Alligator mississippiensis: one gene and its partners. The protein of the gene in region 1 purifies or fractionates together with the protein of each later gene. This does not show direct contact. Links are inferred from orthologs where the notes say so. Each region holds a gene or a part of one and is shown in the gene's direction. Other genes may lie near its edges.

Evidence for each region.
Region 2: the proteins of PPP2R2B (region 1) and MYO9A purify together in Homo sapiens (affinity purification with mass spectrometry; 4 studies listed by BioGRID and IntAct, with this or other methods). This does not show direct contact. The link is inferred for Alligator mississippiensis from reciprocal best matches to the Homo sapiens genes PPP2R2B and MYO9A.
Region 3: the proteins of PPP2R2B (region 1) and PPME1 purify together in Homo sapiens (affinity purification with mass spectrometry; 3 studies listed by BioGRID and IntAct, with this or other methods). This does not show direct contact. The link is inferred for Alligator mississippiensis from reciprocal best matches to the Homo sapiens genes PPP2R2B and PPME1.
Region 4: the proteins of PPP2R2B (region 1) and CDCA4 purify together in Homo sapiens (affinity purification with mass spectrometry; 4 studies listed by BioGRID and IntAct, with this or other methods). This does not show direct contact. The link is inferred for Alligator mississippiensis from reciprocal best matches to the Homo sapiens genes PPP2R2B and CDCA4.

The regions. Positions count from the first base shown.
Region 1 is NC_081832.1:64,055,415-64,063,236, forward strand, and holds the start of PPP2R2B (serine/threonine-protein phosphatase 2A 55 kDa regulatory subunit B beta isoform), read left to right. Parts: upstream 1-4,819; 5' UTR 4,820-4,894; coding exon 4,895-4,904; intron 4,905-5,084; coding exon 5,085-5,162; intron 5,163-7,822. UniProt on the Homo sapiens protein: The B regulatory subunit might modulate substrate selectivity and catalytic activity, and might also direct the localization of the catalytic enzyme to a particular subcellular compartment.
Region 2 is NC_081834.1:45,293,212-45,300,756, forward strand, and holds the start of MYO9A (unconventional myosin-IXa), read left to right. Parts: upstream 1-4,539; 5' UTR 4,540-4,708; intron 4,709-7,545. UniProt on the Homo sapiens protein: Myosins are actin-based motor molecules with ATPase activity. Unconventional myosins serve in intracellular movements. Regulates Rho by stimulating it's GTPase activity in neurons.
Region 3 is NC_081824.1:466,851,980-466,859,479, reverse strand, and holds the start of PPME1 (protein phosphatase methylesterase 1), read left to right. Parts: upstream 1-4,494; 5' UTR 4,495-4,526; coding exon 4,527-4,624; intron 4,625-7,500. Other genes in the region: C2CD3 (C2 domain-containing protein 3), read right to left, coding at 74-294, 1,149-1,306, 3,864-4,167. UniProt on the Homo sapiens protein: Demethylates proteins that have been reversibly carboxymethylated. Demethylates PPP2CB (in vitro) and PPP2CA. Binding to PPP2CA displaces the manganese ion and inactivates the enzyme.
Region 4 is NC_081825.1:289,655,239-289,663,126, reverse strand, and holds the start of CDCA4 (cell division cycle-associated protein 4), read left to right. Parts: upstream 1-4,881; 5' UTR 4,882-5,018; intron 5,019-7,888. UniProt on the Homo sapiens protein: May participate in the regulation of cell proliferation through the E2F/RB pathway. May be involved in molecular regulation of hematopoietic stem cells and progenitor cell lineage commitment and differentiation.

The DNA.
Region 1 (7,822 bases):
GCATACAGATTTCTCCATTAGGAACAGTATTCTTCATACATTTATCTTGCAAATATTTGAGTCATTGACCCTGGGAAACATGTTTATTCTATTTAAGGCAAATGATGGCTTGCTTCAGAGTTACATTTTCCCTAATAAAAGAGGTCACTGTTAGAAAAGCAAAATATTGGCCTCTGGTATTGTACTTTGTCATCCTGAATCTTCCACTTCAGGCTCATTTTGAAGGTCACCATGATCTGGTTTTCTTCCAGCTTTCCTTGTATGGTTTCTATAATATGTATTGCAACAATCCAGTGTTAAAATGAAGGGCTGCATATACCTTTTTATCTCTTGCAAACTACGACCCACAGAAAATCTGCAGCCAGTAAAATTTATTTACAACCTTTTCATATAGGAATGGTTAGTTGAGATAAAGGTGCTCATCATTACATTGTTAGACAACTTGACCCATCAGTATAAGTCAAGGAAAAAAAATAACTCTGTTTAAAAGTGGAACAGATGCCTTCAAATAAATAACATATTGTTAGTAGTTGAGGCAACTGCAATGTCTGAAATGATTATTCAAGACAGTTAAAATATTTTTTTTCATCTAATTGCAACAGAGGTGTAATAAGAGGAGTGCCTCTTCTCCTTTATATTCCCTCTCACCCTCACCAACACATATACCAACATACATTGTTAAGTATCAGTAAGAAGATTAAGTCAGGGCCAAATATTGAAGCATTTATTTACTTTTAGTCAATTCTAATAAGGAAAAAACTCCCACTCATGCCACTGAGAGTTCTGATTAATGAAAGATGGCGTTAAAAGCAAGGCCCAAATTCTGTTGCAGGTTAATCCACATTAGTGAGTTTGGCTCACTGACTGTAAAGGCTAAGTAAGGAAAATAAGGATTTCAGAGTTTGGATTTCAAGTATTAAACATTCATTCTGGAAGATCCAAAATGCCAATACTATAGTAAAAATAGGTTAGACTCCATGATTTTGAAATAATGCTTGAGCAGCAACTATATAATAGAAGTGTCTTATGACCATCTTATGACCCTTGTGCAAGATCATAAGGTCTAATGACTTAGCTGTGGTCTGCTGTTCTTACTGCTTGCCTTGCATCTTGAAGTTATCCCTGCCCAATGCCCTAAGGTTACGCTAAGATAAGATGTTGCTAAAGTTTACTAACTTTGCCGCAGTTCCCCTTTTCCTCTGCGCATGCGACAAAAGATTTCGCTGCAGTTCTGCTTTTTGAGTGCGCATGCACTAACCCTGATAAGTCACACTAACCAATAACAAGTTAAGTGCAGCCTACAAGATAAGACATAACAATTAGGAAATGGTAATGCTGCCAATAAACATCTAATACGTTAAAACTCTATGTTCAATGTAAGCTATAAAAATGTAATTCCGGGCCGGACTAGTCGTCGACTCTGATTTGAGCTCAGCTCCTGGGTCGAACTGTTTGCAAACAATAAATCTGAGATGGACCCAGCCTGTGTGTGTGTGTGTGTGACTCTCTCCTGGGGTGGATTGGACAAGCCTCCAGGGGAATGAAACTAGCCGTTTGGGCAACAATACCAAAGTAAGAAACTTCCAAACAACACCAGGATGATATCTTTCCTCTTGGAAAGACATCCCTCTGTGGGTTAAAAAGTAGTAACTCTTCAGCAGCACACAGCACTACAGAGAACTTCAAAACATTAAAGATTACCTTGGAATAAAATTTGCTCTCAGGTACACATGCATAGTTCTCACCAAAACCAATCCAAGTGGCATCTCAGTAAGAACGGACTGAGGTATCCCTTGCAAATGAATGAGAAACAGGCGTGGGGGCCTGGTCTCTGTTCTTGGGATTGAGAACCAAACTCTGCAACGCACCTTGCTGCCATGGCAGTAGTTGGATGGGCTCAGGAGCTGGATGCTGCTCTGTTTTGTGAGGCAGTGGGAAAAAAGAAAAACATGAGCAGGCTGGCCACCAAGCCAAACCAACACCACATTCTAGCAAGGTGTGGGAAAAGATCATCGCAGACTTACCTCCCACTGCTAGAAGGTTTGAAGCCAAAGCCTGAGCTACACAGGGCCTAAGTCTGGGAGGCCTCTTCATGGGACTCTATAACGAGTATCACCCGTGGGAGCTGAGGAAAATAAATTGTAATAAAAACTTCACTGCCGGCCAAGGGGACAACACAGCTGAACCACTGCAAGGTTGTGAAGCCAGGACTTTGTGCTCAGGAGGACAGCAAAACTCCCACTGCACCACTACTTGAAGCTTAGCTGTGGCAGCCTGCTCCATGGGATTCCTTGATGAGTGATGCCCAAGGGAGCTGGGGAAAATAAACTTAAAAAGAAAAAAAAAGGCAGCTGCCAGCTGTGAGTGAGGCAGACCATAAGAGTGAATCCAGGCCCTTGAATTCAGAAAATGATCAAATTGCTCACTGTACCACAACATGGAGCTTAGAGCTGCCACCCTGTCCTGTGGAAGTGCTTGATTGGTGATGCCAGAGAGAGCTAGGGAATATTTAAAAAAAACCCTACTCCTGGCTTCACAGCAGACATAAGACATAGCTAAGCCAGACTGGAGTCTTGAACCATGTACTCAGGAGGCCACTGAACTGCTTGCTATACTGCTACACAGAGTCTGGGCTAGCAGCCTGTTCTGTAAGATTTGACTGGTGATACTAAAGGGAGTCAGGGAAAATTGAGACCAGGAAACATCCCACTGTACCAGAGCCAATATCTTTTGCCCAGTCTTCCTGCCAACACTCCTTCTTGGGCTGATAGCCTTCCTGAGGACTAGAACGGGGCAGAGCCAAAGGCTTGCTCTCCTTTCTTCCTATGATACAGACAAGCCAACCTTGTGAACTGAAGCAAGTCCCCAGATAGGGTCCCAAATCCCCTCAGGCAGTTTGGAAAGTTGGCCATCTCAAACTACTAGTTATGTCCAAGATAACATCTCTATCTAAGATGTGAGATCATCTCTAATTCTGGCATAGCTCAGACTCAATCAACATAATTATTGAAGTACTCCAATGATTTTTTCATCATACTTGGCTTGTTCTGTAGATCGCCACAAGGCTCAACATCAAGTCAGTTTTCAAAACTTACACACCCTATTAAAACTTACTGACTATAAGGATTTTCTACTTTTTAAATATATTCAGCCTTATCTATAGTCTAAATTAGACACACTACCACACAATAACATCAACGGTACCTCAGTTAAAGCTTACATAAATGATCAGGTATCCAGGTTGTACCCGTATTGATCTAGAGGAAAAGGCAACCAGGACTCGTAGTAGAGATTATATATTTTATTAGGCCAACAAGAAATTTTTTTTGCAAAAATCTTGTTGATCTAATAAAAGATACCATCTCTACTGCAAGCCCTGATTACATAAATTATCAACACTTGAAAACAGACCAAATTAAACATAGTAAAAAGCTTACAGAGTGGCCAGTATCCTTTGGCTGCCAAAGGTGACAGCGGTTTATATAGCGGGAGGGTGTAAATCACCTAGGGGCAGATGATTTGCTTAGGCAGAGTCACTGCTAGATTTCTCTCTCTAGCTGTGTCCTTATATACTGTAGATAGCATCAGTTATATAACTTCACTAATTGATTATCATATGACTATAAACCTATTTAAGGTTTTCAGTCTCAGTGTTGCATTACTGAGAATGTTCTATACAGAATAAACAAACACAAACACAGAGTGAGAAAGGCAGGCAGATATACAGCAAAATGGATGAAGGAAACAAAACTGGAAGATTAGACTGGAACCACTTTGAATTTCTATGTAGATGGAGGTGGTGCACAAGTTCTAGACAGCTCTGTGATTTGATTCCTCTTTGTTTAGGGGTCAAAGCAAGAAGTGGTAATGTTCTAGGTTTGGCTCAGATCAATAGAAATCTTACAGACAGCTGTTTTTTTCCATGTAGATTTAACCCAATAGCTAAATATATCTCATAATATATGTATAGTTCAACCAAGTGCTTCCTACTAGAAAAGAGGAAGGAAGTGTGATTCTCGTGCTTAAAACAGGAACCTTGGCAATCAGGAATCTCAGTTTCTACCTCTAGCATATTTTCTTATTTCCTCAGATCAAAAGGGTGTCCGAACCATAATTTAGTCATTGGTAAAATTGATTTACGGCACTAATATTTGTCTCCTTCTCAAGCAGGTTGTGAAGCATCTTGAATTTCCTGTTTAAAAAAATGCTTTGAGAACTTTGGATAAAATGCATATTATCAAAGAAAGCAAGTTGTTCTTTGTGTGCTGTTTTGAATTGTGCGTTCTAAAAGGGAAATTTTTACTATGTCCTTAAGGAGAGGAGGAGCAGCAGTACATTAAATCCTAATTTCACTCACAGGATCTTACCATAGAGTGTTATTGCAGTGCCGGGAGCAATTCACAGTGCTATTGTTTATATAGAAATGCTTATAATATAAATGCCTACGGTATCCTTTTAAAACAACTACAGTGTACTTCAGCTTCCATGCAAACACTAAAATATTGTAATGATCAAGTAGTCTGACACGTTTCATTCTGCAGAGAAAATTGCAAAGCAATTCACCACTAGGTAGGCCACAAACTAGAGGAAAACGTTGCTGTTTTGTTTTTGTTGTTCTCTCCCTTTTTCTTTTACACTCTCTCTTTCACAAAGATGGAAATGATTTGGGGCATTAGTATTCTGATGAAGAGAGGCTGTGACAAAGACCGTGACTGCAGGGCCTCCTGACTCCTCTATGATGCTGCCAGTGATGTAGAGGGGACTGACTCCAATTGCACCGTTTTCGAAATAGCCCTGAGATGGTACAGAGAGAACAGACAGAGAAGCAATTCACAGCTCAGGCTGTGAATTGTTTTCAGTTTTGCAGTGCTAGGTTATCACTTCGCATGGAAGAATGATACCAGGTAAGCATGTATTTGTCTTCATTTAACGGTTGCAGATGGTCGGGTGAATATGTGTGCATGCATGGGTTTTAAAGAAAGATTATCTATCTATCTATCTATCTATCTATTTATCTATCTATCTATCTATCTACACTTGTGTGGGTACATCTTATCTTCTTTCTGTATGTGTTTCACTGGCAGGATTTGGAAACCTCATGCAGGATGTGTTGTGGTGTTTTAGTCAAGTAAAAGGAACTATTGACATAGGGGTCACAGAAGGTAGGTTTGTTTTGCCTTTTGTTGCTTTAATCAAAGATAACTTGTTTTTTTATGTACTGCTTGTCTAATCAGTCAGCATTTTTTCTCTCATTCATATATTGTCAAGTACAATTGAAAGCAAGGAGTTGAGCTGTGCCTCCTTTCTTTTCTGGTTTTCTCAAGTATTTATTTATTTTAATAGACAAGTAGCTAAGATTAACTAGCGATCCAAAACATTTGTATGATATAATGATGGCTTAAAATATCAATAGCCCATCAGTACTTTGTAAAATGCATTGCCAGGACTTCTTTGTTTTTATTTCAATAATGTCTAAGGAAATTAGGAGCCAGCCAAAATTATTGGATGCAGGGTTTGTTTGTTTTTCTAAATGACATCAGAACTTACTTTTTACTCCCGTATCTAAAGCTAATGTACATTTTAACACATAGGCTTTTACAGATATGCATTAGTCAAAGATACAGGGGTGATTCAGGAGAACAGACATTGACTTTCATACTCAGTAGTTTTCAGTGGGATTTGCACTTCTAAATCACTTAGGCATTTTTTTAAATCTCCTTTACAAGTAGCCCCAATGTTTTAATTCATAAGTGGTCACGTATTAAATACATATAAATTATATTGGGCCAAAACTGAATTAAACTTGGAAAGAAATAAATTCAGTTTTCCTGCCCTTTAATTTGCGTGTGTGCGTTCTATCTTGCTCTCCTCCTCCATTCATTCCATTATTTCCTTGTCTTCTCTCCCTGTTGATCCATTCTTTCCTCTTTTTCTCTCTGTTCACCTCTGACTTCCATTTGCCCTGTTTATCTTCCATTTTGTTTTTATTTCCACTGCTTATCTATCATTCTCCTCTGTTGCCTTCACCCTTTACTTGTGTCCCGCATGAGTATCTGAAATCCCTTATCCCATCCCACTCCCCTGTTGCAGCCAAGTCTCCAATCCCCACCTCCCCATTTTATTTCTTGATGCTTTCATGCAAGTTGTGAATTGTTTGCCCAGAAATTCTGACGTACTTTTTTAAGGCACGGGGCGGCCAACCACCAAGTGCTCTACCACCCAACTGGCAGAGACCTTTTCTGAAAAGATATTGAGGCTTGACTGGTCTGACTTACTTCACTCATCTCGCATGGTTTCAGACCAGTTTTTCTTCATGTTTTGTTTAAATGATCAAGGAATATAAGCTTAACATTAACCTTCAGGTCTCACCACAAACGCACGATGGCTGACATACCACAGTCTGGAGAAGCCAATGTAGATATCGTATACCAGGACTTAGTTGCGCTGGCAAAAGTATGCCTCTGAGGGGAGATACCATGATGGTTTCAGTCCAGGTGGTTTTATGTACAGGCAGTCCTCAGACTTATTGGTCTCTGAAAACAGTGTCTTAAGTCGAAACGTTGTAACTTGGAACCAATTTTCTCCTAAGAAACAATGTTATAAATAGGGGATTCGTTCCTGAATCTAGGCCTGATACCCTATTTTCACCAAAAATACCCCAGAATTTTGTACTTAATCAATTATAGATGAGTAATATAGCTACATTAATGTATTTATATTGTAAATATATAAATACAATATAAATATATAAATAGCAATCATATTGATTTGGAAGGACTTTGAGATGACTTTGCTGGACTTTTTGAAGGGCTCTTGGTTGGACTATTTGAAGGGCTCTTGGCTGGAGTCTTCTCAGGAGTCTTGGCTGCAGGTTCTTCTGGAGACTTGTCTGCTTTCTTAAAGAAAGTGTCCAAGGAAGTTTGGACAGATGTTCTCCAGGGAGATGGTTGACATAGCAAACTTGTTCGCTGGCATGGCATCACATCAGATCAAGCATTGTAAAGTTGAAACTGAGGTCAGAAAGTTGAAACAGGGTGTCAATTTGTAAATGTTGTAAGTGCAAAATGTTTTGAAACAGGGTGTCAATTTATAAATGTTGTAAGTGCAAAATGTTGTAACTCAAAACATTGTAAGAAGAGGACTGCCTGTACTGTCAGGGGAGATCCCCTTCTTCCCTGCCTTGAATGACTTGGTATAGTTGAGGGTAGATACCTGTCCATTGCGCAGTGGGCATGCATCTCTGCGGGAGTCTACTGTAGTGTGCCAATGGCAGGGTATCGGCTACATGCTATGTGGTGATGGGGGATTGCTCTTGGGCTCTCCCTCTGTCTTGCTCCTATGGCCTTTTGGCTGGGGGCAAGCGAGACTAGGGGGCATCTGAACTCCAAAATTGGGGCTTGTACACTGGATGCCTGCCATGGATTTGGGAGTATCTGAAAGCCCAAACTGATGAGTATGGGAGGTAGGACCACACAGACTTGTATGATTAAGCTTTGCTCAGTCCACAGAACTTGGAGCTGATCTGGCTAATTTGACCCAAGACAGTGAGGCCCCTGACAGATGCTACACTTAAGACATGATTAGCCAGTTAATTATTAACCAGTTAATCATGTCTTAAGTAGTAGCCCAGCCACACCTTCAATGGTGCGGTAGGGAATTAACCACAAAGTTACTACACAAAATATGTGTAACAACTTTTTGGTTGGTTCCTTCAATTCAGCTAAGTGGCACTCCCAGCCACAGGAGCCCCAGGCCCCAGCTTGCTACTTGCAGGGTGAGTCTAAGATCATGCACCAGCAATAATAGTGTTGGGATCTGAGTC
Region 2 (7,545 bases), on another chromosome or scaffold:
ACCAGAGGAAACATGGCCATCTTATTAAGTCTCCAGGAGTTTTTAAACATAACTGAGCAATAGTCTATATAAAGTCTTAGGGATCTATCAAGGCAATCTAGAAGTGGCCAGTCTTGAGTTTGAAGAGTTCCTCGTGAGAAAGTTCTTCCTTACCAATCTGTTTCTGCTTCACTTTTTCCCAGAGACAGTAAAGATGCCAAACATGCCTTGCAAGTATTAACAGTTGCATCACAAAGCTTGCATCCTGTACTTTGTTAATTTTTCACCCTACAGAAATGAAACTCGGTTTGAGGCTTTTTTTTTTTGTAAGCCATTTGGTAGCTTCCCACAAGCATTCTTTCTTCCTGATTTAGAGTAACCACCACCTAATTGCTACTAGCTACTACTTTTAATGTTATTGCCATCTGGTATTTGTGAAACTGCTTGTAAGTACTGCATGGTGACTCACCAGATATTACACAGCTTAAAGAACACTTCACAGATTCACATTGCTCCCAAACCACCCAGTCCAAGTGGTACATACTGTACACACACACAAAAAAAAAGATTAGTAGAACCAGTTGGAAAGTGTACGTAATCTCAGATTTCTCTTTCTAACTAGGCCTTCCAATTCAAACTAAAGATGAACTTGCTGTCATGTTTGGATATGGTTTTGTATGTAAAGTTCAGAGGTCTTTCAAGTCCAAGTCACACAATTAAATCAGTTAATTCCCTGGTGTTTAAAAGATTCTCACAGAGCCCACTTCAAATGCATATCAGACCTACTCTCTGGAGACAACTGCAAGCACGTTCTTATTAAATCTGAAAAAAAATACTGACCAAGGACTAAAATGCTTATTCTAGCTTATAAACGGAGCCATGCTCACTGATTTTTGTTTTGTTTAAAGTAGCTTTTTGAACTTACGAAAGCAACATATACTCCTCTGCCTTGCTGCTGGACAAAGCAACGACGGCTTTGAAATAAGACATTTACCTGCTTTCCTAGGTGAAGGTAAGGATATAAAGTGGTGGTAGGGAGGGGAGGGGAGGGGGGGGACAGGAAGAGAAGTAGTGGTTTAAATAGGAATTAGTGTCGAGTATGTTGATTTACTCTGAGGTCACACTTCAGAAGTTGTACAGAAGACTCACCAATTTAAAAGGTTCACAGAATACTTTCCATTACAGAGGCTGCAGTACCACAATATCACATGGGCTCTGTTTTCATCCATATTTCTGTTATTGCAATATATTATAACTGGTTTGGGGCACCTTATACAAGTCTGATACCCTTTTAAAGCCAAAATATAAAGGTAGCAGGTAATCTTATGGAATACGACCTATTACATCAAATAAAGAGGAAAACAGTGCTTTAAATATAAGCTTCTCCTTGCACGGTGGTAAACTAACAAAACAAGAATTAAAAAAAAAGACCCATACTTGAGAAACAGGAAATTAAACCAACTAGACACCTAGTATAAAGAAAAAACATGCAAGGCAAATATCATAAATGGTTAAGACTAAACCAGATATTTCAACTTTCTAAAGTGCTAACAGCATATGGAGAGAATATTTTTAAAATGTGTTGTTTACTGTGGTCTTTAACAAATCTACAAAATTTGGCGAAAAACACAAAGCCAACTGATGAAGCTAAATGCAAACTTTACAGATGGACATGCTGGAGGTAGAGATGCGTAATAATCTGCCTACGGTCATAAAGGAAGTCTTTGGAAGAGCTGAAAATAGAAAGCAGCCTCCTGACTACCAACCCCATGATTTGGCCACAAGACCATCCCTTTTCAGGAAGTAGTTTTTGAAAGTACATCAGTACTCTTACTCATAACATAATCAGTGGTAGTGAGAGATACTGGGGAAAAACTGATTTATTTTTGTCTTTGCAATCTGGACTGCATTACCAGCATGACCACGCTAAGCCCTTGTTCAAAGAGCATTATTAATTTAATATGGGTCTTCATACAGGTTCTAGATGCCTATTATAGTCCATATGTTGGTTCCAGAGCAAGAGAACATCCTTCCAAGCTTGTTAAGGAGTTACCAAATTAGGAACATGGTCTGCTCCCACATCCTTTAAAATAAGGATAATTAAAATAGCTAATAATATTTTAGTAATGCATTAATGAAAAACTATACACTGTGTGTGGGCAGAATGTTGAAGGGCTTCAGTCATGCTCTGGACACAAGAAACTAAATAAAGCCTTCCACAACTTTATCACAAGAACAGCACTCAAATATCCCATTCTGTTTAAAAGTCTCTTCTGGCAAGAAATTGCATAGGATCCAAAATAAGATTTAAACAGGCCAGGAACACAGCCATGGACTTACAATTTACTCCAAAGAGTGAGTGGGTTGGAGGTGTTAGGTTCGTTGGAGAATGCCAGTAACCCATCCTGATAAAGAAGCTTGATAAACAAAAAAGTACAAAACTCCAATACAACAAAAATTGGGAAGTTAAACAGAAAAAATGTGTGGATCACACTGACATACTTGGAAACAAAGTTTGTTCAATGAAATATTGAAAAGGCCTAAAAAAAGAATGCATTTAGAAGTGTTCATCGTTCTCCTTAGTTCCACAGTGGCATTCAGTCACAAGAACTGCTTTGGGCATTATGACTTTGATCTCTGAAGAACAGCATCCACTAAAATTGAACTGATGACGTAGGTTTCAAGCAACACAGTTGACCCCAATTTTTTTAGATATAATTGTATAGTATTGTACAATAAGAAACTGTCCTAGAGTGTCTGTAAGAGAGAACAGTCTTCCTAAGTACCATTTCCTGTAAATTACTGAGAACCCTTGATTCTCAGTGAAATAAGTAAGCGTTAATCATCACCTCAAAGTGTCATGGCATACAAAAGGGAAACATGGTTCAGTAGTTAGGAGGGGGATTCAGGAAATATGGATTCTAGCTCCAGTTTTCAGATTTGATTCTTGACTTGGGGCAAATTGCTTCACTTCTTTGGGCTGAATTATCCATTTGGTGCCAAAATATGCAACTAACAAAAAAAATACCAATTGTTTCTTGACTTTTAAGGCAGTATTTGTTAACTAACATGCTATGACTTTCATTCATATGAAATGAATTTAAAAAAATCTCATCTCTGCTCCTCTTTACCCTTTCAGATCAAAGTCTTCAACAGTGTCTTGAACCTACACCATACAAATACGTCAGTTATACTTAGTCTTAAGACTGACACAATCTTACTCTTTTATAATAAGATTTTACTTCAAGTAAGGGGTCACTGAAAAAGGTTTGAAATACTGCTCAGAGTGCAAATCATGGCAGAAACCATCCTACTTTATTATCCTAAGGGACTATGTAATGCAGTGATCGCACCCTTCCCTGCTCTTTATACCTTGACATGGTCCGTTCCATGAGCAATGACAGACAAAGAATACCAAGCCTTCTGCAGGCACCTCTAGCTTCCAACCTTAAACACCCGCCATGTGGGCGCCTGCCTGTGGGCCCCGTGGAGCCCAGGGACAGTGTTGCAGGGGCGTTGGTGGTTGCAGGAAGTGCCAAGGGTTGATAGAGGCCCTCCTGCCCCGCCTCTAGACACGCAGAAGGGAAGCAGGGTGGATTTATGCATCTCCTTTCACAGCATCTGATGAAGCAAGCTTCAGCTCGTGGAAGCTTGTCCTGCCTACCTACTCTGGGGAGTCCAAGGTGCCCATCGACTCTGCTTCCTACTAGACTTCAGACTCACTCAGGGAACGACCTCTGCTCAGAGCTGCAATTCTCAGCCAGGTGCTCCCCACCTTGGAGGCTTTCAAGGCTGCACAATATGGTGCAAGTACTGAGAGGCACAAGCAAAACCCTGAGATTTGAGATAGCAAACTTCCGGTGTCTCCTTGGAACAGAACAACTGCACTGGGATTTTTCTCCAAGCAAAAAAGAGGGGCGAGGAGCCAGGCTGACGACTGCTGCTCTTGGCACGTGTCATGGAGCAGCTGCCCAACCCCCCACACTGCCCCCCCCATCCCATCCCCCCACACTGCCATCAGGTGTGGGCGGCCGGGGAGGGCGGCGACACCTCCTCCTCCGACATTCGTCACCCAAAGGCTCCGGGGCAGCTCCGGTCACGTCACTGTGCTGCTGAATTACCGTAACTTGTTGCAGGCGACCGCACGAGTTACCGTATTTCGCTGCAGGCAACCAACCACACGCTTCATTACCAGCCGCCGGGGAAGGGGGATCCGCGCAAAGCGGGGCTCGAAGGAAGCGCCAAGGGTTGCTGGTGCCTTCCCGCCCGCCCCGCAACCCGGGCAGGCCCCGCATCGCCCCCTGCCCGCCGAGCGGCCGGCGCTGGGCCCAGGCCTCACCTGCCGCCGCATAGCCCGGGCGCCGCGCACCTCCCGTTGCGCCTCACGGTTGCCGGGAGCGGCCGTAAAGCGGCCTCGTTACGACAGCCGGCGCGCGGGGAAAGGAACGCCCCTCGCGAGAGGGGCTCGTCAGCAGACGGCGCATGCGCCGAAGGGCGGGGCCCGGAGGCGGCGAACGCGTGGCCCCAGGCGGGGCCTCGCGGAGGGGGCGGGGCCGCGCGGGCCGGGCGCGCGCGACGTGCCCGGAGTGGCCGAGCGCGAGCGGGTGTCGCGCGCTGGACCGAGCCGGAGCTGAAGCTGCCACCGACACCGACACAGCCGCCCTCCTCATCTCCCCGCCCCGCCCCGCCCCGCCCCGCCCCGCGGGATGCGCCGCCGCCCCGCGCCCAGGTGAGGCTCCCGCGCCCCCCGAGGCGAAACGGGGGGAGGGGGCGGCGCCCCCCCCCCTCGGGCTGCGGGGCCGTTGCAGCCGTTACGGGGGCGCGGTCTGCGGGCGATGCTGCCCCCCCCCGTGCGCGTGTGTCCGGCCCCGGCGGCATCCAGCTGTGTGGGCGGGCGGGCCGGGGGCGGCGCAGGTGCGGGGCGGGGGGCGCTGGGGCGGGTCTGTGGGGGGATGGGAGGGATCCGGGTCCTGGGGGGTCTGTGCCCGCGGGGTGCGGGGTCTGGGTCTGGGTCTTTGTCTCCGCGCGAGTTGTCTCGCTGCGTCCTTCCTTACAGGGGAGAGCCCCCACCCGCCCCCTCTCCCCCACCGTCTCCTCGGTTTGGGTGAGGCAGGCTTCTTCCCGGCGGCGTGGCGGTGGCAGGAGGATTCGTAGCATCCTGCGCCGTCTCCGCCGTCCTCGTCCCGGGGATGCCCGAGCGGCTTGCTTGGAGTGCACGCTTCGCCCTCTCCGCCTGGCTGGGAGGCGTGAATGCAGAGCACTGCGGTGTAGACGAGTGTCCTTAGCACGCCGGTGACATGCGAGCTTAGAGATCACCCCAGGCTGTAAATGTTTCAAGCGCCGTGGGGCTGACAAGCTGCAGTGCCTATTCTGGTTTAAAAAAAAAAAAAATTGTTGTGGGGATACTAGAAACGTTTATCTGTGGCTTAGCGTGCAGGATGTACGGTGCGTGGCGTTTTTCCTTTTAAATGGTTGATGTAATGGTCTGAGACTCGGAAGAGCAGCGCGATTGTTGATGGGAAGCAGCATTTGTAAGTGAACGGGAACTTATTTTTCAGTGTACAGTATGTGCGTGATCTTTTTTTGGCTTTTTTACCATTTATAAAAATATAATCAGTGTTATCAGTCAGAGCGAAGGGCAGCTGGAGTGGGTGGCAGATTTGCTGTTTGTCTTTTTTCAGGCTTTACATTAGCAATCTCTTTTCATTACTACACGACTAGCGTTGAGTGGGGTCCCCTCACTCCAGCCTTTTTTTAATGGTAAACCGAGGTACAGACTGTAGATGGTGCTTTCAGTTGAAGGTGGGGTCAGGCCTTCCCTGCACTGGAAGTCGGGGGAGAACTTCTCACCATTGCAACTACTGGTGGTAACTCTATTAGAGAAGCTAGTGTAGACGGGGTACCGGGGCAGCTGTTGATGTTTTCAGTACTCTGTCATTTAGGTCTGTTTCGGGCCGTAGTGGATAAACAAAATATTATAAGCAGCGTTGCCTTGTCTATACATGGTGCTTTCAACGTGGTTGCCGCCAGTGGATCTGCATCTGGCGGCAATTATGTAAATCCTTGGAAATAAATAAGAAAATCTCCTAGTGTAGAGACGGTCTTCAAGCTTGAGCTTCACTGATGCATATTGTTGGCCCATTGCTGCTATTGATTTTATTTATTGGGGAATTGTCATGAAAATAGTGTTGTGTCATTTAGTAAGAGCTGTATTTAAAACATTTAAATTGGGAGCCAAATGAAATATCCAGATACAATACTCTTAATATATGTCACTTATATCCCAGCGTGAAATAAAGTCATTTTGAGTAAGGAGGTTAAAGAAAAACCTTTTTCTTTCATCCTTCCAGAATTTTCTTATACATAGCAAATGAACTGTGCCTTTAGCCCCAAATCCTAGAGCAGGATTTGCAATAGCATGTGAGTCCAACTTAAGTTACAGAGTTTTTACAGCATCTTCCTGTCATTGAGCCAACAATAAAAGGACAGTCTTGGTTATAGATATTTTAGCAGCTCTCATTTCACATAGTTCTATTTCATACCCTGAAGTCATGCTGAGACTAGTAATTTAGAATACAACCAAAAGAACCATGGCTTTCAGCTGCCTTTCTGTAGTGTACTTCATTGTGATTGTTGGACTAGTAGGCAGTGTCTGCCCATATTGATACTCCACAGCAGAGAGTAGGAGCAAGTCTAGTGAAGAACATTATGTACAGATAAGTACTGGAGAGAGAATTAAAGCTGTGTTATAAGGGAAAAAATCTAGTTCACTGTGGTGTGGAGGACAGAAAGCCACCCTCCCTCCTAGGATCACTGTTGTCTTTAAACCATTATTTTGAAAAGTACAGCTTTAGATAACGATTTCTTTTTTTTTCAGTTCTTCACAGCCAAGTCCTAGGAATTGGAATGTGAATCTTTTCTTCTTCCCCTCCTTTTCAGCAGATTTTATTTAGCAATGAAATTGCACACCCCCAAGATGATGACTGGCATGTAGACTAAAGCCCTAATCCTGCAAACACTTGCACACAAGCTTAACTGCAGGCAGGTCAAACCATTCATATGAGTGAGCTGCAGCACCACTCTGTAATCAATAATAGGAGAATATTGTTCAGGTTTCATGGTTCAAGCACAAAGTTGGATAACCACAATTTCCTTTACAGGTTATAAACTGTTTACCATGATCTGTTTTTACTCTTTGTCTTTAAGATTGAGACTACACTTGCCTCTTGCATATAGAGGCCATTGCTGGGTCAGGACACACATGCTTTCCTCTGGACTGTTTTCCACCGTTCTAGTTGTGGGAGGCATGCAGAGCAGCCCCTCCACAGTTTTTGGGGAAGTCGGGATCTTTGTAGGCAACTTCTGCTTCATGCTTTCACTTCCGGCCATGTTTTTTCAGGCATGTGCCTGTGTGGAATGCCTGCCAGAACAAAGCTCATGCTTGTTAGTGTCTTAATTCATGGTTTAAATACATTGTGTGCGTGCTCGCCTTTCAAAAAGTGCTTAGTTGTCTAGATTGGGCCGATAATTCAGGAACCGTGAGAACAAGCTAATGACTTGTATTAT
Region 3 (7,500 bases), on another chromosome or scaffold:
GATATAGTCAAATGGCTACTGCTTAAAAGTAAACCATATGAATTGGAAAATGTATCTAAAGGAAAAATGTTACCTAGGAGTTGCAGCCCTGCTGCTGTCGGCAGACTCTCTTCCAGTAACACACATCCCAGGAGGCCTGTATGTTTGTGGTGGAGCTAGAAACTGAGGCTTGCTGGTTTCACTCATCCCTCTGGTTCCCTTAGCACATGAGATAATATCTTTACTTGCATCTGTGGTTGGGAGAGAGCTGCTCTTGTCATAGGTTTCAGGGAATGGTTCCAAAACTAACGATATCTAAGAGAGACAATATAAAGAAATGCATGTGTTTTATTTCTGTGTGTTTTTTATACTCTACAGCATATTGTTGTTTCACTCCTAAATGTTATGTATTCTACAGTTATGCAGGGCACCAGCCTAAACTCTGAAATATTTGTTTGTTATTTCACATCACACAAAGCTAAGGAATCACTTTCTCCAGAGAAACAGTGCCAGGGTGGTAAAAAAAAGAAAATAAAAAGGATGTTTAAGTTTAAATATGGATTTGAAATCTAGTTTGAGGCCTTTAAAAAAACATAAAATATTCACAACAGTCAGTTTGCTAGCATGCCATGAATACCACTTCTCATGCTGACTGACACTGTTTCAGTGTGTGTGCATTTTCCCCTGTCCTTACCCATCAGTTACCTCCTGTCTTAGACTGTAGGGCAGTGATTCTCAACCAGGGTGCCAGGACACCGTGGGGTGCTACCAGATCTTTTGAAAGTTGTGAAGTGTGAGGTAATACGTGAGGTGTTAGGAGATAAGCAGATAAACTAAGCAAGTGCAGGCTCAGGCTTGTCCCTGCTTGAACAATTCCCATATTCTCACTCCCAGGCCCCTCCTTCTAGGAAGCAAGCACCATAATCTGCAAAATAGTTTTCAAATTGGGTGGCACTGTATTCACAAAAGTTATGGAGGGGCACCTTGAGTCTAATGAGGGGTGCAGCAAGCTCAAAAATGGTGAGAACCACTGCTGTAGGCTGAGACATGAACCATTCCTTTGCTTTTTATTCTGTAGCCCCTTGCATAGTGGTGTCTAGCCCCTGACTTGGGCTCCAAGTTGCTATAGGAATACAAACTATAAGTCGGAGGAAAGATTTCAGTACTACCTGCACTTCTCCTAGTTTCTCAGACGTTGGTGAAACAATGGTGAAAAATCCACTGATTGGATTGCTTGGAGAGAGCTGTGACAATCCATTAATTTGAACTTTGCCGATAGGAAGATGGTCAGGTTTGGTGATTACCTCTAGTACGAGAGCACCCATATCTACAGGAGACAGAACAGCTAATTTAGGTTTGGTATAATGCATTTTTAAGCATCTAAAAAGGGTTTATGCAAGTAACAACAGTTTGCTGCTAAAAGGCGATTAAAATTGAAAAACTAAAACAAGAAAATGAAATGCCAAGACAACAAAATAAGGTATCATTAAAATAAGATAGGAGGATGATCATATGTGCCATATATTCTCAGGTACAGGATACACTTTTTCCTCAAAAAACAGCTACTGGAAACTGGAGTGCACATTATGCAAGATAAATACTCTCAGGGTAGGTGCTGCCGCTTACTGGCAAAGTCGGCTGCAAGCAGAGCACCCTAATGGGGCAGCACGAAGGAGTTCGTATAGCTGGTGCCCATGCAGGACCTTGTTCTCTCCCTGGCTGCTGCTACTCAGTTACATACTACAAGAACAGATTTTTCTTCCTTCAGTCTGCCTCTCATAAACAAGGAGCGTGCTGTACTCCAGCGCATGTTGTATGTGAGAAAATACAACAGTAGGTAAAAAAAGTATTGTACTGTTAAGAGACAAGTATTGGACAATGAAAGATAATCGGTCCCATCTCATGGACTACTACTTACAATACACACACATGCACTTAAATAGGCTGCTTTGAAGCCCAATCCTGCAGTAAAGTCCATGTCAGTACACGATTCCCCTGAACACAACTCACTAAAGGATTAGAGCCTGAGAAAAAATGTGAAGTGACAGCTGACAGGATCTATCGTTACACTACTTCAGCTACAAAACCACACAATCTTTACTATGACATAAATGTGGTTATAAGTAACAGATCTAGAGTCTGATCCTCAAATACAACTGGAGGGCTGTTGATGCTTGGCAAGGTCATTCAGCACCTCCCAAAACTAAGCCTCAGCCCAGGTTAAATAATACAGCCCTAAAGTCTGATTCTAGTGATTCCACTAAGAGCTGCAGGCATGCTGTCCTTCTCAGGAACAGCCTCTCATCCTTGCCTCCCAAGTGATTTTGGCAGGAGGACTCAGCAGCATGCAATAGTGCATATATATTGCAGTATTGCAATACTACAATAGTGTTTTGCATGTCAAGGCCTCTGAAAGGTGGGGGGCAGGCATAAAGTGTCCTTGGAAACAAGGGGTGCTTCGTATAAGCCTCTTTCCGTTTCATGAAGCCAAGAAGAAGTAACAAGCTGGCTAGTAAACTCCGCGCTTTCTGACACTAGCTCAAGCTTACGGCATTAAGGCTGCAAGATGCAGATGAACACGTGCAAGAGGGTTTGTAAAAGCTTGTGCTATGTATGTGTATGTGTGTAGCACAAGCTCTCACAAACCCTCTTGAACAATGTGCGCACATGCATACACACACACACGGGCAGATCTAGGATTTTCACAAGGGGGGTGCACAAGGTGTGGCGCTTCATCCCACATAACATGTTTTTCTTGAAAAGAAACTAGAAGCTGCACTAATACATCAGGGGGCTCACACTACTTTATTCAGTGTGTGCGTGTAGCACAAGGTTTCATGAACCCTCTTGCATGTGTGCGTGCATACATGCACGTACATGCACATGTGTGGATCTAGGAGTCTCACAAGGGGGGTGCACAGGGCGTGGCACTTCATCCCATATAACAACACGTTTTTCTTGAAAAGAAACTAGAAGCCGCGCTAATACGGCAGGGGGCTCGCGCTATATTTATTCAGTTAAAGATCGAAGCAGAAAACAACAACAAGTCCTGGAACGTGCACCACTTGCTTGAGTACACATGAAGTTTTAAAAAATAAAAATGCAACAAACTAAACTAGGCAAACACCAGTCAAAGGATAGTGTATGGTTAGTCCTGCAGTCGCTGTAGTTAAATGTCCATCTCCTATTCACACGGGTGCAGGTTGTAGCCGTGTTGGTCTAAGGACACAGGCAGACACGGTTCTTTGGGTGAATCTGATCTCTTTTATTAGACCAACTGACCACGGTTTTTGAACCCAAAAGCTTGCTTAAAAACCGTTCTCCAACGATTTGTCAGTCTAATAAAAGATATCAGATTTTATACGAATAGGAGACGTCTGCCCGTCTCCTATCCAGAGTCGCAAAACCGAATCCAGCTGCCTCGAGCGCCGTGACGGCGCCTACGAGACGCCCCTCGTTAGTCGGACCACACCCTCGTTAGTGGGACCACGCCTGACTGAAGGTTTCTAGCTACAGCTAAACCCGGTCGGCCGGGCTGCGAAACGGAAGAGAGACGAGACCGGGGATTTTGCAAAGGGATGAAACCTCAAGGCCGTTAAAAAGCACAGAGAGGCGTTAACACCGACCGCGCAGCGGAGAGAACAGCAGGAATCGGGGAAGCGACAATGAGGCGCGACGTCGAGGACCCCTCCTTCCACACCCACCTGCACCCTCATACGCACGCTCGGACACACGCGTGCACACATCACCTGTACACGCATACCCTTAACTCATGAAGCGAGCCCCCCCCGCACCGATACACGCATATCCACACACACGTATGCATATTCACATGCATGTATACACATGTAGACACACACATGTGCGTGTGCCCATGCCCACACCTGCGAGGTAGGCGGCGAGCTGCGCGGGCCCGCAGCGCACGGGGAAGCGGGCCTGGCTGCGGCCGGGCCCGGCGCGGAAGAAGGTCCCGGCCGAGGCGTCGCCCCACCAGCGCAGGCAGAGCGCGGCAGCGATGGCGGGGGGTGCGGGCCCGGCCCACACGACGCGGCCTACTGTGACGGCGAGGAGGCCGCGCGGCGGCCCGGCCACGAGCGGCGGGAGGCTGGTGGCGGCGGGCACGGGCCGCGGCGCGGGGGGGGCGCGGGCCCGGCGCGGGGGCACCCCCTTGGCCCGCTCCCGCCTCATCGCCTCGCCGCTGCCCGGCAACCGCCGCCGCCGCCGCCGCGGGGGCCGCCGGGAAGAAGCGCGGCGCGACTACAGCCCCCAACGGGCCGCGCGGCACCACGCCCTCTCCCTCCCGCTTCCGGCTGGGAGGGAGGGACTTCCGGCGCCACTACCACTGAGAACGCTCCCCCTTGAGGAAGGACTTCCGGAGGGTCACTTCCGGCTTCGAGTGCAGCGGGAAAGACACGGGAACTTCCGGTGAGGGTGGGGGAGCGGACTCCATTTCCCAAGGTGCCGCGCGGTGTGGAGGGGCACTTCCGGTGGTGGTGGTGGTGGGGGAGGTGGCTGCTCGCTCGTTCCCGCCCGCCCGCCCTGCCGTCATGTCGGCCCTGGAGAAGCAGCTGCACCTGGGTCGCCTTCCTCCGCGGCCGCCGATGCCCGGCGGGGGCGGCCAGTCCGGCTCCAAGATGCGCATGGGGTAGGAGGGGCAGGCCCTCAGGGCATGGGGTGCGGGGGCTCGGCCAGGTGGGGAGGGGACTGTCCCTGAGGGGATGTGGGGGAGGAGGTTGGGGGGGGCGGGGCTCCTGGAGGTGGGGGAGGGGAGGTCCTTGAGGGGATGGGGGAGGGGAGGAGGTTTGGGGGCTCTGGGAGGTGGGGGAGGGGAAGAGGTTTGGGGTGGAGGGCTCTGGAAGCTGTGGGTTGAGGAGGCTTCTGGAGGTGGGGGAGGGGCAGCCCCTGAGGGGATGGGGAAGGGGCTTGGGGGCTCCTGGAGGTGGGGAGGATCAGTTCCTGAGGGGGTTGGGGGGGGCTCCAGCGGGTGGGGGTTGGGGGGGGGGCTCTGGGAGGTGGGGGCGGGGTAGGCCCTGAGGGTTGTGGGAAGGCTTCCTGAGAGCCGTGGGGATGGCGGTGGATGTGCTGGGGGGGCTATGGGGGTGCTGACTAGTTGTGGGGGGTGTCACTGCCCAAGCAGGTGGTGGCAGAGGAGGGGAGGTCCTGTTGGGGGGAGCGGGGTGCCTGAGGTGGGGGATGGGTTGGCAGAAGAAGGGGTGGGGGGAGAGGGGTTGGGGTGGGGTCCCCCACCCTGATAAGTGAGGGGGAGGCAGGGGCAGCTGGTGCAAGGGGGTGGTGGGGGTGGGGTGGTAGTGCCTGTTGCAGAGTGGGACAGGAGGTGGCTGAGTGGTGAGGTGCAGGGCGAAGGGTTGGCACAGAGCAGGGCTGCTGGGGGCAGGGGAGGGCAGTGCCCAGCGCCAATCAGCAGCTGATGGGGGTGGGGAGGGGGGGGTTGCAAAAGAGGTTTCCCATGGGGGCGCATGGGATAGGAGAGGGGGTAGCAGAGGAGGTGGGGGTGCCCTGTGCAGAAGCGAGCAAGGATAGCAGAGGAGGCAGGGGGCAGAGGTGGTAGGGTGCCCGGGGCAGGGGGTAGCGGGGGACAGCAGAGGTGGTGGCGGGAATCCGTTGTGGCAGAGAGGGTGGTTGCCTCTGGAGGGTGATGCTCAAGTACTCATTTGAGGTGCTTTTCTGCAGAGCAGGTGGTTTTCTTGGCGGTGATGTCATGTGTGGAACTAATAATTTGCTGCTTCTGGCGTGTTGGAGGGCTCGAGAGTCAAACTGGGCTGTTGGCAAATGTCTGTGAGTGAGGAGCGTGTCTAGACCCTGCAGAAGAGAATTAGACAAGCTCTAAAGTTTGGACTCCTGTTCTCTTAATTGTGCTCTATTATCTTTAAATGGGAGGTTAGACCCAGCTGAAAAACCTAGTAGGTTTTACTGAAGCAATCGCAGTGTTTTTTTTCCTGTAACCCCATTGTCCAATTGATAACAAACCATTACAGTCTCTCAGCTCTCTGTTCTTGGGGACAAAGTTTGGCAAAGGCAGCTCTTTCAGGATATCTCTTAAACAAGTCTTTTCTCTGCATTTTGTTTTACTCCCTGTGGCTGAGGAAAGGTTGTTTCCGTTGTGTTGTGGTCATTCAAGATCCATGATAGTTGAGCTCAGTGAAGAGAACAGTTGGATATTATTTTCCTGTAGCAGAAGTCTACAGGAAACTCTCCAATGGGTGAGCTGTGCAAGTCCCTGCCCCTGGGAGAGGCCATTTGGCCCTCTGGGACTGTGCAGTGTAGTACCACATGAAGCAAACAGATGGTGAGCTTTATGAATGAGAGTACATGCATCTTCTGAAAGCAGAGTGGGAAGGGGACTGGTCAATGAGAATGTGACACTGTGTAGGACAGTGTGTGAAAGAAAGAAGTTCAAGGGACCCCGGGCATCTGTACACGAGTGCACAGGCTCTAGCAGCCTCCTGTGTCTCGTGTATCAATGTCTCTGCGCTTAAAAATGGTGATGAGGTTGCTTGAACTAAAGCTCCACAAATGAGCTTTAATTGAAGAGGCTGTCTGAGAGCATGTATTAAAAAGCTTGAGAGCATGCTTTAAAGTGCCCGCAGTGACTATGGAAAAGGGGAGCGAGGGGGCCTGATGGGCTGGATTTAAGGAGAGCTTTGAAGGGGTGAAGATAGATTTTGTTTATGGATGAAAATAAGGGATCCAAGTTAAGAACGGTATTATAGTGATAAGATGCTGTATGATACTGGCTCAATTATATGGATGGCTTGTAGAAAGAGATAATATGGGACAGGCTGGAAAATGTTGGCAGTAGGCTCAGGGAGGGACAGCATGTGGGGATTACATAAACATTAGAGCTGGAAGGGACCTTATGAGATCGTCGGGTCCAGCCCCCTGCCCAAGGGGCAGGAAGTCAACTGGGGTCAAATCACCCCAGCAAGATAAGCATCCAAGTGTTTCTTAAAGGTATCCAGAGTAGATGCGTGCTCCACTTCTGGGGGGAGTCTATTCCAGACTGGAGACTCGGACAGTAAAGAAGTTTTTCAGCAGTTTGAGACTGACTGTTAGACCTTGTCTTCCCTTGGGGTGCCCTAGTGAACAGACATTGTCCCAGTTCCTGGTGTACCCCCCCTTGGTAGCAGCCTATAAGTATACAAGTCACCCCTGAGCCTGCACTTCTCCAGGCTGAAGAGTCCCATGGCTCTCAGTCTTTCATCATAAGGCTGATTCTCCTGCCCTCTGATCACGCACATGGCTCTCCTGTGGACTCTCACAAGCTTCTCCACATCCTTTCTGAAGTGTGGAGCCCAGAACTGGATGCAGTACTCCAGCTGCGGCCTCACCAAGGCCAAGTACAGCAGGAGGATGACTTCTTGGGTCATGCTTGAGATGCCTCGGTAGATGCAAGCCAGAGTTTTATTTGCTTTGCCAGCTGCAGCATTGCATTGGTGGCTCATGTTCATCTTGTGGTCAGTCATGACCCCCGAAGTCTTTTTTGGTCATGGTGCTAGTGAG
Region 4 (7,888 bases), on another chromosome or scaffold:
GTTTTAGAAACATTATAAACATCTTCCTCTCCCCTGCTGCCATATGAGCGTCTCACCAGAACAGGCAACGCTGTTGTAAAGACTAAACTGAGTGGGACTGATTTGTCAAGAGGGGGAAAGCAACAAGGAAGGAGGGCACTGGGGAGGCTACAGGCATTCATCTGAGCTAACTAACATCTCTGTTCCCTTCTCATGCATGCAGGTCACACAACCCAGCAGAGGCTAGCACCGAGGGAAGGGGGAAGCCAAGCCTGCTGTTTGCAGAAGGCAGGGTACATACACACCTTTATAAACTAACTAAATGAGATCTGTATAGAGCATGAGCTTTTGTGCACCCAAGTTCACTTAAACGCAAGCGATGCAGGACAGCCAGTGCTCACACGAAGCTCCTATAAAAAGGCATGGGTGGGGAGTGAGGACAGCAGAATCAGCTGAGAGTGCAGTTCCCATAGCCTAGCACAGGTTAACACAGGGTAGGAGAAGCAGCTTCACATGGCATGGCATGGGCAACTGGTGCATCCCAAGTCTGGCGGGGCATCAGATCGCCGATGGGGGGCCTAGCAGCCGATTGCCAACCGGGGGGGGGGGTGTCCCCTAGTGGCTGATGCACTTCCAGTCTGGCCGGTGCACTTCCAGTTTTGTGGCTGGCGCTTCCAGGGGGTGCACAGCCAATCTCAGGAGGTACGTGTGCACCCATGTGCATCCCCTATGCGTCACCAATGTGGCATGCAATCAAACACTGGCATGCATCTACCAAGGCATCTCGAGCAAAACTAAGGATGTCATCCTCCTGCTCCACTTGGCCTTGGTGAGACTACAGCTGGAGTACTGCATCCAGTTCTGGGCGCTGCACTTCAGGAAGGATGTGGAGAAGCTGGAGAGAGTCCAAAGGAGGGCCACGTGCATGATTAGAGGTCTGGAGAGCAGGTCATATGAGGGGAGGCTGAAAGACGAGGGACTGTTCAGCCTGGAAAAGAGAAGACTCAGAGGGGACTTGGTGGCAGCCTATAAGTATATCAAGGGTGTACATCAGGGCCTGGGGGAGCATCTGTTCACCAAGGCACCCCAGCGGAAGACAAGAAACTATGGGCACAAACTGATTGAAGATTGCTTCAGATTGGACATAAGGAGAAACTTCTTGACAATTCGAGTGCCGAGGGTCTGGAACACTCTCCCCAGAGGTGGTACAGTCACCTACCCTGGAGAGCTTTAAAAAATGACTTGACGCCCACCTTGCTAGGGTCATCTGACCCCAGCAGTCTTTCCTGCCCAAGTGCAGGGGGGCTGAACCCAATGATCTTGTGAGGTCCCTTCCAGCTCCTAACCTCCATGAATCTATGCAATTCGCACAGTATGCTGGGATTTGCAAAAAACAGCTCTAAGCTGAGCCTGTCACCCACTCAAGCTGATGGGAGGAGGCAACTGTTCCTGTCTCAACTGCTCCCTGACCTGTGCAGGAGAAGGAAGTAATACAATGATGCCCCCTTGGCATGACATGTTTTATAAATGTTTTTAATGCTAAAAATATATTCTATCCTTTTACCCACGCAGTAGGGTTTCTGTTGGCTGTCAAAGGTCATGTATCTTCCCAGGACATATCTGCAAAGTGGTCCTTACAACCTCACACCCAGATCCATTTATCACTGCTGGCCAGTTCCGGTCTGTCGCCTATGCTTAGTGTCAGGCCAGTTGTGTCTTGTCTCTCGTGTTTTCTGGGGTTATGAAAGTGTTTTCTCGTCACCTTTAGAATCCTTTGTCATTTCTCATCATTGACAATAAGTGTTTTTTCATTCCTTTTTCTTTTTGAGCAGGAATAGAAAGCATCACAGTTTCCGTTTCCCCATCAAGTTGCTGAACAGACATTTCTCTGTCATGTTTGCGCTATGCTTTGTCTCCTACTCTCTGCCTCTATTTTAGTCAGTAATTCTGCTCTTGTTAAAAGTTCACCTCAGTTGTGGACATTATTTCTGCTGATGTATGCTCCTAGCATGAAGTGTCTGTGTAGGAAATTAACAGGCTAGACTGTTTTTGACACAATCCTTTTGACACTTTTCAGTTTGGTTTCATGCACTGAGTGGGTGGGTGAAAAGTATTAGTCTCTGGTTACAAGCTTAATGTTCTTTCTGTGAAAATATTTTTGTCTTTTGGGAGATGGTTTACTTTCTAGTAAATCTGTTCTTTTGGATGGATCTTGAGAACTTTATTTTTTAGAACGACCAAGCCTTATCTCACCTTGAGTACACAACTGCTGCAGGAGTGACTTCTCTCAGCCGCTAACTCAAGAGATGGGTTGTGGGGATTTTTCTTTTTTTCTGCCCATACCTTAATCAGGTGCGTAATCAGGTGCTCTGAACAAATTCAGAGTATTCAAGAGTCAAAATTTCTACTCATTTTTCAGGCTGCTGATATAACAGAAACTTACTAGTTTCCCCATTTTGCTGGAGGACTTCTTGGAAATCTGAAAATGTCAAGACCTGATATTTCTCATTAGAAGAAAAATCTTGTCAGGAAAAGTTGTCGGTGCTTTTATTTCTGTTGTGTAAAACAACAAAAGGCCTAGAACGGGTTGGCAACCCCCAGCACAAGTACCAGAGCATGGCATGCGAGGCCATGTTGCCTGCATGTCACAACTTGCCTTGGCTCTGAGCAGCTGCCGCTGGCCACGCAGCCGGGGTTGCTCACAGCAGGTGGCAGGGAGGCTGCGAGCCCTGCTGCGAGCAGCCCAGGCTCTGTGGCAGGCAACTGCTGCTAGCCATGCAGCCTGGGCTACTCACAAAAGGCAGCAGGCCGGCTGCAAACTGCTGCTCTGAAGTCTGTGGAGCCCTGGCCCAGCTCATTGCTGGCAGCAGGTGCAGACATACCTCTAGGTGGACAGTGGGGAGGGGCAGGGGCATGGCTGTGCTGCCAAAACAAGGATTGGGCCCCTCATGGCTTCCCCACCACCCGTCCCTGGCATGCCAGCATCTTATAAGTCAAAGGGTGGGGTGTTTTTGGCACTCCAACCAAAAAACCGTTGCCAACCCCTGGCCCAGCCACGTTTTTTCTTTGCATCTTACAGTCCCGACTTTGCAGAGAACCACATTGCTGAAATCAGCAACAAAACTGCGTGCACAAGGGTCGCTCTTACCGGGCTCAGTGCAGGATCGTCAGGACTATAAGTACTTTGCAGGTAGGCCAGAAGGAACACGTCTCTCCAGATCCATGGCAGCGTTAACTCTGTGGTATCATGTTCTTTTCTTTTGGAGTTCTGATTTGTAATTCTGCACCACGGTGGGGTAAGAATAGGGCTGGTTAGACAGAGCCACATGTGAAAGCTCTGTGGCACATTGCAGTGTTCAGCCGCCCCATCTTTTTCCCAGCTGCTGCTAATTTGACTCCCCTAAACCACTGTTATTTTCTCCTATCTCCACCTTTTGGCCTGTAGTTCCCACACCTACTAATCTAGCTTATTTCTTGCTCCTCCTCAATTCCTCCACTCCTCTCTTTTCATCATTTCATTTCTCTCTCCTACCTCCCTGGGTTGCAGATCCTCCTTATGCGATGCCGAAAGCCAGACACAGCTACTAAGCTCTTCTGCGGCTGTGGGGAACAAACCTGACATCCCTTTCTTTTTGAATCGGAGACATGGAGAAACGTACGCTCGCAGGGAAAGGAACCGAGCAAGCAGCTGTGCGCCAAGAACGAGCTGAGTGTTTCCAGAGGTCTGGCAGCAGCAGCTGAAAACCATCAGACATTAGAAATGGGTCGGTTCAGCTTCACAACACAGGAATGGTGCGTACGAACCAATAACGAGTTCTGCCAGTTGTCCTGACGCAGGACATGGGAGCAGACGGCAGCGCCTGGGCCACGTGGAAAGATCGGAAGCGATGTGGACAGCGAGGAAGTGCTCCTGGGGGTCCAGGAGGGGAGAAGGGAGCCTGGACAACCAGGAGACGATGGACAAGCGACCTATAGACATCAACGGTGGATGGAGGACGAAGGCACACAGGAGACCGGAGCTGAGGATGATGGAGGAGGCAGCCAGGGGCCTGTTGCGCTACACTGCCCTGACGACTACTGTTCTTTGTCCTGCCGGGATCGGGGGTCGTCTGCCCCCCCGGGAGGCCTGGAAGCACGTTTTTGCAAGAGCCAAGCGGATCTTTTCCGTCAGGGAACGACTCCAGGTGTGGGGGGCGGTTGGCAGAGACCCCACTGTCGTGATTCTCACTAGGAGACGGGGCAAATGTGGCAGCAGGTTCAGAGCATCCTGCCCTGGGGACGAAAACACCTCCGCCTGGAGCAGGGGTGCCTCCACCCCGGCCCACAGGCTGGATCCAGCACAAGGGATTCAGACGCGGCAACAGGGGGCCACAGCAGTGAAGCACCCAAGCCACAAGCGGCTGGACTGGCCTTGGGGTGCTGCCAAAGCGGGGTCGGGGTCACAGACTGGATCTGGCTGGGAGCAGCTGGGCCCGAGACGAGCGGGGGGAGTGTCTGTGTGCTGGGGGAATCCACGCTCCCACGACCCCATGAAGGGGGCGTGGCCGGAAAGCAAGAGGCCCCTCCCTCCAGCCGCCACGTGCTCTGGGGCGGAGCCCGCTGGAGTCCTGGGGGCGTGGCTCTGGCTGCCTTTTGAAATACCTCATCCCTCCCTCCAGCCAATGGCAGTGGGGGGGCGGGCCTGGGTACCATAGTAACCCAACCGCCAATGACGGACGGTGTGGTGGAGGGGGGGAATGGCTGAGTCCGCTAAGGAACCGGTCAGCCAATGGCAGGCCGGGTACCGCGCGGCCGGTGCTGCGTAGACAGCAGGCAGCCAATGAGCGTCAGCGCTCGCCTGCGGGCGGGGCCCGCCGGAATCGACTCTCCCCCAGTAGCAGTACGGGGGCGGGCCCCTCGCTCCTTTGTGGGCTTCGACGAGAAGATGGCGGGCGGGCGGAGGCGGAGCGAGGTGCTACGGTTGGCCCCGCCCTCCCTCTGAAGCGCGGAGCGGGCGGCGAGGCGGGAGCGTGGCTCCGGGCGGCGGCGGCGGCGAGGCGGTGAGTGGGGCTGGGCTGGGCCGGGCCGGGCCGGGCGGGGCGCGGGGCCGGGGTGGAGCCCCCGAGCAGCGGAGCGGAGGAGCCCGGCGGGGCGGCCGCGGCGCCCGCAGCGGAGTCAAAATGGCGGCGCGTCCCGCTCCCCGGGGTCTCGCGGCGGCGGCTCGGCCTGGCCCTTCATCCTCGCCCGGGAGCCGGGCCGAACCCCGCATTACACTGCGGATGTGTGTGTGCGTAGAGCGTGTGCGTGTGTATACCTGTGCGTGCACGCAGTGTGCGCGCGCGCGGATGTACACGCACGTGTGGGTGGACATATAAGTGCATGGTGTGTGTGTGGATGCATACGTGCGCATCTGGGTGTATACGTGCGTGGTGTGTGTGGGTGTATACGTGCACTGTACGCACGTGGGTGGGGGTGCGTGGGCGGGCGGGTGTATGTACGTGTGCAGGTGTAGGCATATGCAGGTGTGTGCACGCCTGCGCACAGGTGTACGGATGTATGCCCATATGTGTGTGTGGATGTACACAAGTATACAGCTACTCCTCACTTAATGTTGTAGTTACTGTCTTGAAAAATGCGACTTTACATGAAACGACGTTAAGCGAATCCAGTTGCGTCGCAGGAGTTGCGTACCAGCCGGCGGCGGGCCAACAGCGCTATAACCAAACGTTGCGCGACTTTAAATGCGTGTGCTCTCTAATAGATCAGTGACGTAATAACGAAACAACGTTAACAGGATGACGTTAGGGGAGGAGAATGTGTACACTCACACACTATATATATATATATATATATATGTGTGTGTGTGTGTGTGTACACATGTGTGCATAGCTAGGTATCATGTGCACGCGTGCGGGGGGCACAGCCCTCTGCAGGAGGGATGGCCTCTCGGAAGGGATTTCTGTTTGCCGGTTATTGCTGGCTCCTGTGGCCTCATTTTTGTTACAAGGTCACCTCATGCCCATGACTGGCCAGATATTGGGTTTCAGTTTCAGGAGAGGTAAAAGACTTGTTGTTATTATGAAAATGGATTAACTCAGCGAATGCCCCATCCGCATGCTACTCGTGTCAGGGTATTCTAGAAAGCTTCAGGTATCAATGCCCCGTGCGCTTCCGCATTATCAAGTTGTCCAGGAGACTGGCGGCAGGGTAATGAGAGGTAGTTAGTCCTGGGAGTCTGAAGGAGGCTGGTGCACCTTGTAGACGAGCAAAATCAGGGATGCATCCCTTTTATGAGCAGCCGCTCGCTTCGACCGAGGCTGTGGAAGGACATGCGGTACCGTAACAGGTGGAGAGTTTGGCAGGCAGGGACACATGGACGGCAGTTTGAACAGGCAAGAACGGCTTCGGTATGAGGAGGGGCTGAAAAGACTCCAACACCTTAGCTAGGATAAGACATCGTTCAGCAGGGATGGAGTAGAGCTCTCTAAAATTATGAATGGTTTGGGAAAAGGGAATAGGGAACGTCTGATCTCTTGCTCTGTCTCGTGACATGAGAAATAAGCCGCACTCAATTTAATTGGGTGCGGCTTATTTCTCAAGTTTTAAATACAAATTATTTTATTAATACGACACATGCTTGTGAAACTCATTGCCACAAGACGTTGAGAAAGCCAGTGGCATAATGAGGTCCAGAAAGGGTTTAGATAAAATTTATGGAGAGCATTAGTCCATTACAGCCTATTAAATACATTATGTACAAAACAGTCCATTTCATCACATCCTTCCAGCTAGCAGCAGTCCTAACTCCAGGGATGTTCTGATCCAAAGATGATATCCCTAACTATTGTAACTTATGCTCTTTCTTCTGAAGTTTCTGCTGCTTGCAGCTGTTGGGGACAGGATACTGGGCTAGATGGACTCTTGGTCTGATGCAGTATGTCGGTTCTTATTGTTCTTGTGACTTCTGGTTCTCACAGTAAGTGGATCAAAGAAGAGGAGGCTGCTCTTCCTCCTCCCTCTGAACAAGAGCAAATATTACTTTAAATTATTGTGGGAGACAAAATCTTAAACAGCCAAGCCGGCAACAGTCTTGTCCTCCTGTTACTGTCTGCATTTCTTGCATATCTGATAAAATAGCAGAGAAACCTGTTTATATTTAAAACAGGTGTCAGCATTAACACTTATATGTAGCATTTAAAAATACAGCAAGGCATTGGTTTGTATTTCCAAAGTTTTCTTTGCAGGTCCTAAGGACCAGAAGAAATTCTTAAAGAGAACTTAGTTTCTTCATCATAATTGTGTAGCAATGGGTAGAGTCTCAAACAAATTTCATTACCAGGGACTTCTCCTACTTTAATTAAAAAAAATGCTCATTCCAAGTGGTCTCATTTGTTCCTAGGCACAGATGTTTTCTGCCCCACATCTCTGGTTCTAGAAAACAGTGTTTAAGGCAGGGTTGGGTAGCTCCCAAAACGGGTGCCAGAGAGTGGCATGCAAAGGCCACTTGCACTTTGCTTGGCACTTGCACTTTGGGGCAGACAGCGGGGAAGGGGCCTGGGCTGCGCTGCCACAACAAGATCAGGCCCCATTCTGATTCTGCCACCATCGGCCCCTGGCATGCCAACATCTTAAATGTCAAGGTTGTGGGTGTTTTTGGCACTCTGCCTGAAAACAGTGCTGACCCCTAGTTTAGGGGGGTTTTTTTCTTGCTCTACAGAAAAATCCAGAACTGCACAGTCACATGCATTGGGCTCCTGCATTGGGTACCTGTTCCCTTCCCTCTGCATATTACTAAAGTTCATCTCCATAGTTACCACTGTCTTCTTTAGTTTCTAGATCTAATAAGGAGTCCTGCTCATGTTTGCTTATTATTGAGGCTTCCTTCTGTTCAGCAAGCCCTTTCATGTCAGTTTAATGTTTAGATGCTGAC